2 linked regions of the Stegostoma tigrinum genome follow. The main gene of each other region encodes a partner of the protein of the gene in region 2 in a complex. Links are inferred from orthologs where the notes say so. Each region holds a gene or a part of one and is shown on either strand. Other genes may lie near its edges. The genes, in order: pdcd6 and sec31a.

Region 1 (3,919 bases), on a different chromosome or scaffold from region 2:
CTCACCAGTTGTCTCTCTAATAGGAAGATGGCAACTTTATTTTTGCCTCAAAAGCTACTTCGTTAGGATGCTAGAAAACTATAAGATTCTAAATTGATTACAACGAGACTAAAGTAGGTAAGGACCTAGACACAATCATTATCATGTAACAGGTAGTATTGGGTAAGCAAATGGCCAAAGATAGACAAGTCTCCTGGCTCTGATGGAATGCATCCAGGGTACTAAAAGCGATGGCAAGAGTAATAGCAAATGCACTTGGGGTAATTTGCCAAAATTTGCTGGACTCTGGGGCAGTTCCAGCAGATTGGCTATTTTCCAATGTGACGCCACTGTTTGAAAAAGAGGGTGGACAAAAGATGGGGAATTATAGGCCAGTTGGCTTAACTTCTGTAGTGGGAAAATACTTAAATCTATCAAGGAAGAAACAGTGAGACAACTAGATAGAAATTCCCCTAATGGGCAGATGCCACATACCTTCATTAAAGACTGGTCATGCTTGACTAATTTGCTGGAATTCTAAGAAGACATTGAGCTCAGTGGACAACAGGGGTCCAGTAAATGTTGTGTATCTGGATTTCCAAAAGGCATTCGAGAGGTTTGACACACCAAAGGCTGCTGCATAAGATAAAGACGCATGGCATTACAGGTAATGTATTAGCATGGATTGAGGATTGGTAAACTAACAGGAAGCAAAGAATGGGGATAAACAAGTGTTTTGCTGGTTGGCAAACAGTAACTAGCGGTGTGCCCCAGGGATCACTCCGAGGACCGCAACTGTTGATAACTTGGACTTGGGGACCACATGTAATGTGTGTCACTGCTTGCGATGACACTAACATGAATGGTACAGGAAGGTGTGCAGAGGACTCTGAAAATTTTTGGAGGGACACAGATAGTTTAAGTGAGTGGGCGAAGGTCCGGCAGATGAAAGCCAATGTTGATAAATGAGAAGTCATCCATTTTAGTAGGAGTAACAGTAAAAGAGACTATTATTTGAACAGTAAAAAGTTGCCACATTCTGCTGTGCAGAGGGACTTGTGTGCCCTTGTGCACGAATCACAGATGGTTGGTTTGCAAGAGATATTTCTGCCATCGCAAACTGATGAGGCCAAAACACTGACGGCTTTCAAGAAAGGTGTAGATTTAGTTTTTAGGGCTAAAGGGATCAAAGGATACAGGGAAAAAAACTGGAAAATGTACGAAGTTGATGATCAGTCATGATCATATTGAACAGCAACCAAAGGGCTGATTGACCTACTGATGCAACAATATTCTATGTTTCTATGTAAGCCTGCAACATGAACTGTAGCCAGCAATTAGAAATTTGTTCAGATACTAGTCTGTTATGCATTATCCAACTTCTGAATGCACCTATGGTTAGTAGCAGAGTAAAGCCTTTGATTCTCCAGCTTATACAGCATTTACAGCTGAGCTTTGAGGGAATATAATGTTACTAGTGGTAGAAATGCCTGGATGAGACAAAGTTGTTGTTTCTTTTAATTCCCCTGGAGAACATAAAAGATCCAGTGAGGTAGGAACAGAAGTAGAACAATACACCAGGTGTAGGGACCAGACTTTACCATTCAAAACTTTAACCAGTCACTTGGCTTATTGTGGTCTGGATATTTGTCAACAAATTGGTGGATGTGTTCTCCAAATAACAATGACAGCCATTCAAAAATAATTTGCTCCCTGTAAAGCAATCTGAACACTCAAAAGTTGTTACATTAAAGCAAGTGGTAAGACTCTGAAGGGTACTATGCAAATATCAGTACTGAGGGTCTGAAAGGTGCAGCATAAATGCCCATTCCGAGGGCGTAATGGGGACAGTACAAGTGACGCTGACAAAAGGAGTTGTTTGAACAGTCATCCCAGAGAGAATTCCACTAAGCCTCACCCCAGAGGAAGGAAACATTACCAGTAAAGGATGAAGTACCATCATAGTTAATGAAGTAATGTGGGAAAGGCAACAATTTTGCACACAAACTACGTGAAAACAAGCTCATTACCTTCAGTGACTTTAATTAAGAAGTCTTGTAGCAATACGAATTTCCCTCGTTATTCAGACAGTCAGTGCGCGAGGAACACTCTGGCAATCAGTCAAGGAGCCCGCTGGCCCTGTCACTTCACCCCTTGCTTCCAGGGTACCATGTGAGTGGGCTCAGGCCCTCCCCGGTGGGGGAGCGGGCTCAGTGTTTTCCCCCAAAGATGGGAGAGGAAGGAGAGAGAGAGAGAGAGAGAGAGAGAGAGAGAGAGAGAGAGAGAGAGAAACAAGACTTGAGGATGGTGAAGCCAGTTAGGGGAGTGTGGAGATAATGGGGTGGAGTAGGACAGAGGGCATATTGGAGAGGAGTAGCAGCATGGGGTGGGTGGTGGTTGTTGTGGAGAGGAATAAGAGTCTCTCCCATGATACTTCAACGCTCCGGACCATCTAAATCAATCAAGCTCGCTCTCTCTCTCGTCCGTCCGTCCGTCCGTCCGCCCGCCTGCCTCCCTCCCACACGTTCCGCGCCTCCCGTAATCAAGATGCCATGTACCTCTGGAAGACATTCCACAGGAAGCCTTGGTCGGGAAGGCCGTTGTTGGCCGGTTGCTGCGGCCGGTAGTGATACGCCATCGGAGACCGTTGTTGCCACGAGCTTGGTCTCAATAGCTTCCCCCGCTCGAACTATCTCGCTTCCGCCCGCATCACCTGACCCCGCCGCGCCCCTCCGCGTCCAGCCACGTGATAGTGAGCCGTCCCGCGATGGTTCCGTCTCAACTGCTTCGCGCTCCGTGGCGGTTGCGGTGATCTTTCAGACCTGCATGCATAAACATCCAGAATGGGATTTGAAAACCTCCGAGAGGACAGGGACCGACGGTTCGACCTCCTCAGATCAACCGCTTGCTGTTTCGCCACCGTTGCTGGGGTGACGTCCCCGTTAAAGTTCCTTGTAATTTTACATTGGCCGATGTAAATTTCCCCGCCCCCCCCCCCCCGATCAATGGGCCGAGCTTTGAACCCTGGGCGCGCTGCCCTGTTTGCAGTCGCTTTCTGCCTCCGCGTCGGCCTTGTCTTCTATGGGCTGCACCAGGACCGCTCCATGCCGGTCAAATACACCGATGTGGATTATCATGTCTTCACAGACGCCGCCAGGTTTGTCACTCAGGTAAACCGGATTGGGCGTGGAAAGTTCAATGGCGCAACTCTGGAGCTGTTGCGTCTTGAACCCGAATCCCCTTGCTGGCATACAGACCGAAAGAACTGCGGAAGCTGTAAATCCGAAACAGAATTTGCTGGAAAAGCTCAGCAGACCTGGCAGCATCTGTGAAGAGAAATCAGAGTTAACATTTCGGGTCCGGTGCCCCTTCCTCAGAACAGATGCTATCTAAGGAAATGGTAGACAAACAGGGGGTCCCTGGGGAGCGCTGCTGAACGAAGAGACCTAGAGGTGCAGTTCCTTGAAAGTGGAGTTGGCAGGTTAACAGGTTTGCGAAAGTGGCATGGCACCCTTGCATTCACTGGGCACAACATTGAGTCTAGGAATTTGAATGTCATGTCGCAACTGTACGTGAAATTGGCGAGGCCAGTTTTAAAATACTGCATTAAATTCTGGTCACCCTCCTATATGCAGGATGTTGCTCAACTTGAGAGGGCGCAGAATGGTTTTACAAGGGCTGCCAGGACTGGATGGTTTGGGTTATAGAGAGGGGCTGAATAGACTGGGGCATTGTTTTCTGCAGCTTTAGAAGCTGAGGAATGACCTTGTAAAGGTTTGTAAAATCATGAGGGGCATGGATCAGGTGAGTAGCCAAAGTTGTTTTTTCTACAGTAGGGGATCCAAAACCAAAAGGCATAGGTTTAATGTGAGAGGGGAAAGACTTAAAAGGGACCTAAGGGGTAAGTTTTTCATGCAGAACATGGTGCATGAATGGAACA
Region 2 (3,919 bases):
AATCAGAATGTGTCAGAAATAGCAGAAGCTGCAAAAATCTTTTCTAACTTTGTTCAAAAGCTTTTGGGTTCAGCTCAAAGGAGACACGACTAAGATCAGAAACAAGTACTGTCTCGTCACAAAAAGGAGATTATTTCAGATAGTTGACTAACACCTGAAGAAGGACTGAGGCTCCGAAAGCTTGAGTTTTCAAAAAAACCTGTTGGAGTTTAACCTGGCGTCGTGTGATTTCTGACCTTGTCCACCCTAGTCCACACTGTGGAGGATTCTGTGAGGATTCAAGTAAGAAATCTTCATGGCTCACAGAAGCAAAACTGAGAAGCAATTGTCAAAGATTGGACTGAGAAGGAAGATGTGTTTGGATTTTGTGTACTAAAAAGTGATGGTGGTGGGGAGTAAATAGGATTCTGTTTCACTGTGTCTTTCAAAATTTTTCAAAAACGGTTTCTGCTCTTTCTGACACACTGGTTTTAAAGTCATAGCTCTGAAAGACTGGCCTAATTAATTATTAAACACCTACACATGCAAAAGGCTAAGACCCATTTTCCAGTAGTTTAAAATGCAAGCTCTAAAACAATAATTCTATGTTATATGTAGTTAACTTGATTTGTTTTTCATTGTGGTTCACTGATGAGAATTAAATGTGCTGAATTGAGACGATTTTATATTTATGTCATTGCCCGGTTTTTTTAAAAAAAGAATGTTCCTTAGATGTGGGCGTTGCCAGAGTTTATTGGCCATCAGGACTGGGATGAGAATTGCCTGCTCCTGTGAAAGCAAAATGTTTTGGGTCTGTGGTATTTAACCAGATTATGAATGAGCAACGTGAGAACACCTACTACAACTTAAGTCGGGAAACAATGCAAGGAACTATTTCTGGTTATTTATTCATTTCAGAACCAAGGGGCAAAATGCCAACGCGAGACAGCAGAACACCTTTCATTAAAAAACAAAATATTCTGGACGCTGGAAATCTGAAAATAAAAACAAAAGGTGCTGGAGAAAAATCAGCAGGTCTTGCTGCACGTGTGGAGGAGAAAATAGTTAAGGTTTCGGGTCAGTTATGACTGTTTAAAAACAAAGTGGTTGAAAATAGCATATTCTGTGTTGAGGACAGAGGGGGAGTGCACTGAGTGGAACAGATTGCACGTCAGTCTACAACATAAAAACACCCCAGATGTTCCAACTCCTTTCAGTTCTTAAAAGTCACAATAGACTCGACCCATTAACTGTGTTTTTCTCATCACAGGTGCTTCGAGACCACTGATTTCTCCAGCACTTTCTGCTTTCAAATACATAAGGCGACTTCAAAACAGAAAATGTTAGAAATGCTCAGCACATCAGGCAGTAACTGTAAAGCGAGAGAGAGAGACAGTCAACAACGCAGGTTGATGATATCTCAGGTTGCTGAGGACATCTTTTGGACACTCATGCAATTGTTCAAATGTAGCCGTTCACCTTTTGGAGTGTACAGAACGTACTCGGTGTGATTGCTCGATGACTGTGATATGGTTAAGTATAGCCCAGTGCCTCTGTTACCGTGGGTTGCACTCGTGTGTGCCCAGGGGACATGCGGGTGCTTCGCGCTGCTGCGTCTCTTCATTCTCCCTCAGGTCCTGTCTCACCCACAAGATCTGCTCTCCCTCTCACCGCCTGATACTGGGCGGACTTTGTACTCCGAGGAAGCGGAAGTGGAGCTGGGTCGGTCCAATCTGCTCCGGCTGCCACGTTGGTGGAGACGTGGACTTGAAGCACCGGGAGCTACAGGCAGAGCCGGAGGTAAGCCGGGAGCTCGGGGCGGGCGTGAGAGCCTGAAACCCTCGGGGGGTGGGTTTGCTCCTCCCGCGGACCCCGGCTTCCTGTGAAATCTCTCCCGGCTGAGGAAGCGTAGGGATCGGCAGGGCCGCTGGCGGGGGGGGGAAGGTTGATGTTACTTTTAAATGGGGTTTGATTTGACTCGAGTCTGGGTGGCCGGCCCAGAAATTTCATTCGTTTCTCTCAAAAACAAATTGTAGACAGTTCCAACTTTCTGCTTTCCCCGATCCTCGCAGTCTGTCTGCTTCAGTGTTTCTTTCTGTTTACATTGAAACACTGTTTGTGTAAACATTGTATCCCCTCACTGTCACTGTCAGGGCGGCCCAGTTCCCCCTCTTTCCAATCCTGGGGTTTCCTGGTCAATACTGTTCCACACCATTTCCTACCTTTTTCGATCACCGATGGATCGTGGCCGGCTTCTCCCTTCCTTTTTCCAAGTAACACTATTTCTGACCAGCCGTGAAAATGCAGTGGGGCGCGGGGAGACGTTCAAAACTTGCACCTTTTGCATCTCAAATCCTGGAGTCAGGCCACAGCCAACCTCGCCTCTCAGTCAAAAGACTGGACTCCAGCTCCACTCCAGAGACTGGTGCTGCACTGTCAGAGGTGCTGTCTCTCAAATCAGATGAAAGGCCCAGGTCCTGTCTGTGCTCTCGGGTGGACCCAAAAGATCATGGCTTTATTTTGAAGAAGAGCATGGGATTTATTCCCCTGGTGCCTCCGCCAATGTTTATCCTTCAGTCAGCATATTAAAAAAAATGTTACCTGCGTTATCATTAGCTTGCTGTATACAAATTGTTGCTGTTTCTCCTCCATCACAACAGCAACCATGCTTCAAAGAAGTGCTGTCCCGCTTGTAAAGTATATGGGAAAGGAGCTCTTAAAAAAGTGTTTCTCTTGCCCACGGTAAATAAGTGCGATGATTTGACAGGTCGGCAGTAGAACATGATAGAGGGCATTTTGCATGTTTCATTTCAATGAAAGTTACTTACAGCAACATTTTAATTGCTTGAAATCTCCTCATTTGCCTCAACGACATAGGAAGAAAAGTGTGCATATTTACACTGGACCTACTACAGTACATTTGAAGTGTTCTGATCCATTTGTCAGCTCTGGTTCACTGATTGCTGGAGAGCAAGGGGATAAGTGGTGGAAAGAGCTTGGACTTCCATCCAAGACTTTCCAACTTGGTACCTCTGATTGAGTCTTGGGCTAACCATTTATTACTAAGACAGATAATGCTGTTTTTAGTTCTAATCTTTCAAAGATCATTCTTAGACTTCTGTATCTATGGGAGTTCTATCAGCTTGGATCTGATTGTTTGTTTATTGATGAATTAGAAATCACAGATCACTGGCAGCTTTGAGGTTATACCTGCTGGTGCTTAGACCTGTTGATGGCACTTTTATTTTGAGTCAGAGATTGTTTATTTGAGACCCACTCCAGTAATTGAGCACATGGATTAACATTTCTAAGTACACCATCGGCTTGTCTTTTTAAAGCAGTCAATTTACTTATCAGAAGTATGTTTGAGAGGACCGCTGTTATTTTTCAAAGAAAGTATAACACAATTGTACTTCTTTCCTAAGTGATAATTGGTCCTACCGTAATTGAACAATTTTAATCTTTACTTGTATTCATTAATATGGGGAACGCAGGACATGAGGAATCACACTAAGATATTTAATCTGTCCAGCTTCTTTCAGCATTCAGTGTGATCGAGGGCTGATCTGTGCCTTAGCTCCATATACCCACCTTTGTCCCATCCTCTTAACATTCTTGGTTATCAGAAATCTCGAAACCTCACATTCAAAATTTACACTTATCTAGCATCATTTGCCATTTGCGGGAGAACATTCCAATCGCCTACAATATTATTTACGTATGTTTGTGTGTGTGCATGCACGTGCAACTGTTTCCAAATTTCAATTCCAAAATGAACACGGGAACAGGAATAGGCTGCTCAGCCTGCTCCATCATTCAATGAGATCAAGATTGATCTGCAGTCTAACTCCATATCTAACTCCTTTGCCCCATTTACCTTAATATATTTGCTGAACAAAAGTTTATCTATCTCAGATATAAAGTTAACAACTGATCCAGC

What was found.
Region 1: the proteins of sec31a (region 2) and pdcd6 are in contact, whole or in part, in a crystal structure (PDB 3WXA), measured with the Homo sapiens proteins. The link is inferred for Stegostoma tigrinum from reciprocal best matches to the Homo sapiens genes SEC31A and PDCD6. Residues at the interface, in NP_001070675.1 of Homo sapiens: Asn837, Pro838, Pro839, Pro840, Pro841, Gly842, Phe843, Ile844, Met845; in NP_037364.1 of Homo sapiens: Val31, Val35, Leu48, Ala51, Leu52, Ser53, Asn54, Gly55, Thr56, Trp57, Phe85, Trp89, Ile92, Gln96, Phe99, Phe148.

The regions. Positions count from the first base shown.
Region 1 is NC_081355.1:20,853,458-20,857,376, forward strand, and holds the start of pdcd6 (programmed cell death protein 6), read right to left. Parts: upstream 2,823-3,919; 5' UTR 2,618-2,822; coding exon 2,538-2,617; intron 1-2,537. Other genes in the region: pigm (GPI mannosyltransferase 1), read left to right, coding at 2,985-3,149. UniProt on the Homo sapiens protein: Calcium sensor that plays a key role in processes such as endoplasmic reticulum (ER)-Golgi vesicular transport, endosomal biogenesis or membrane repair.
Region 2 is NC_081354.1:77,616,001-77,619,919, forward strand, and holds the start of sec31a (protein transport protein Sec31A), read left to right. Parts: upstream 1-1,472; 5' UTR 1,473-1,508; coding exon 1,509-1,779; intron 1,780-3,919. UniProt on the Homo sapiens protein: Component of the coat protein complex II (COPII) which promotes the formation of transport vesicles from the endoplasmic reticulum (ER).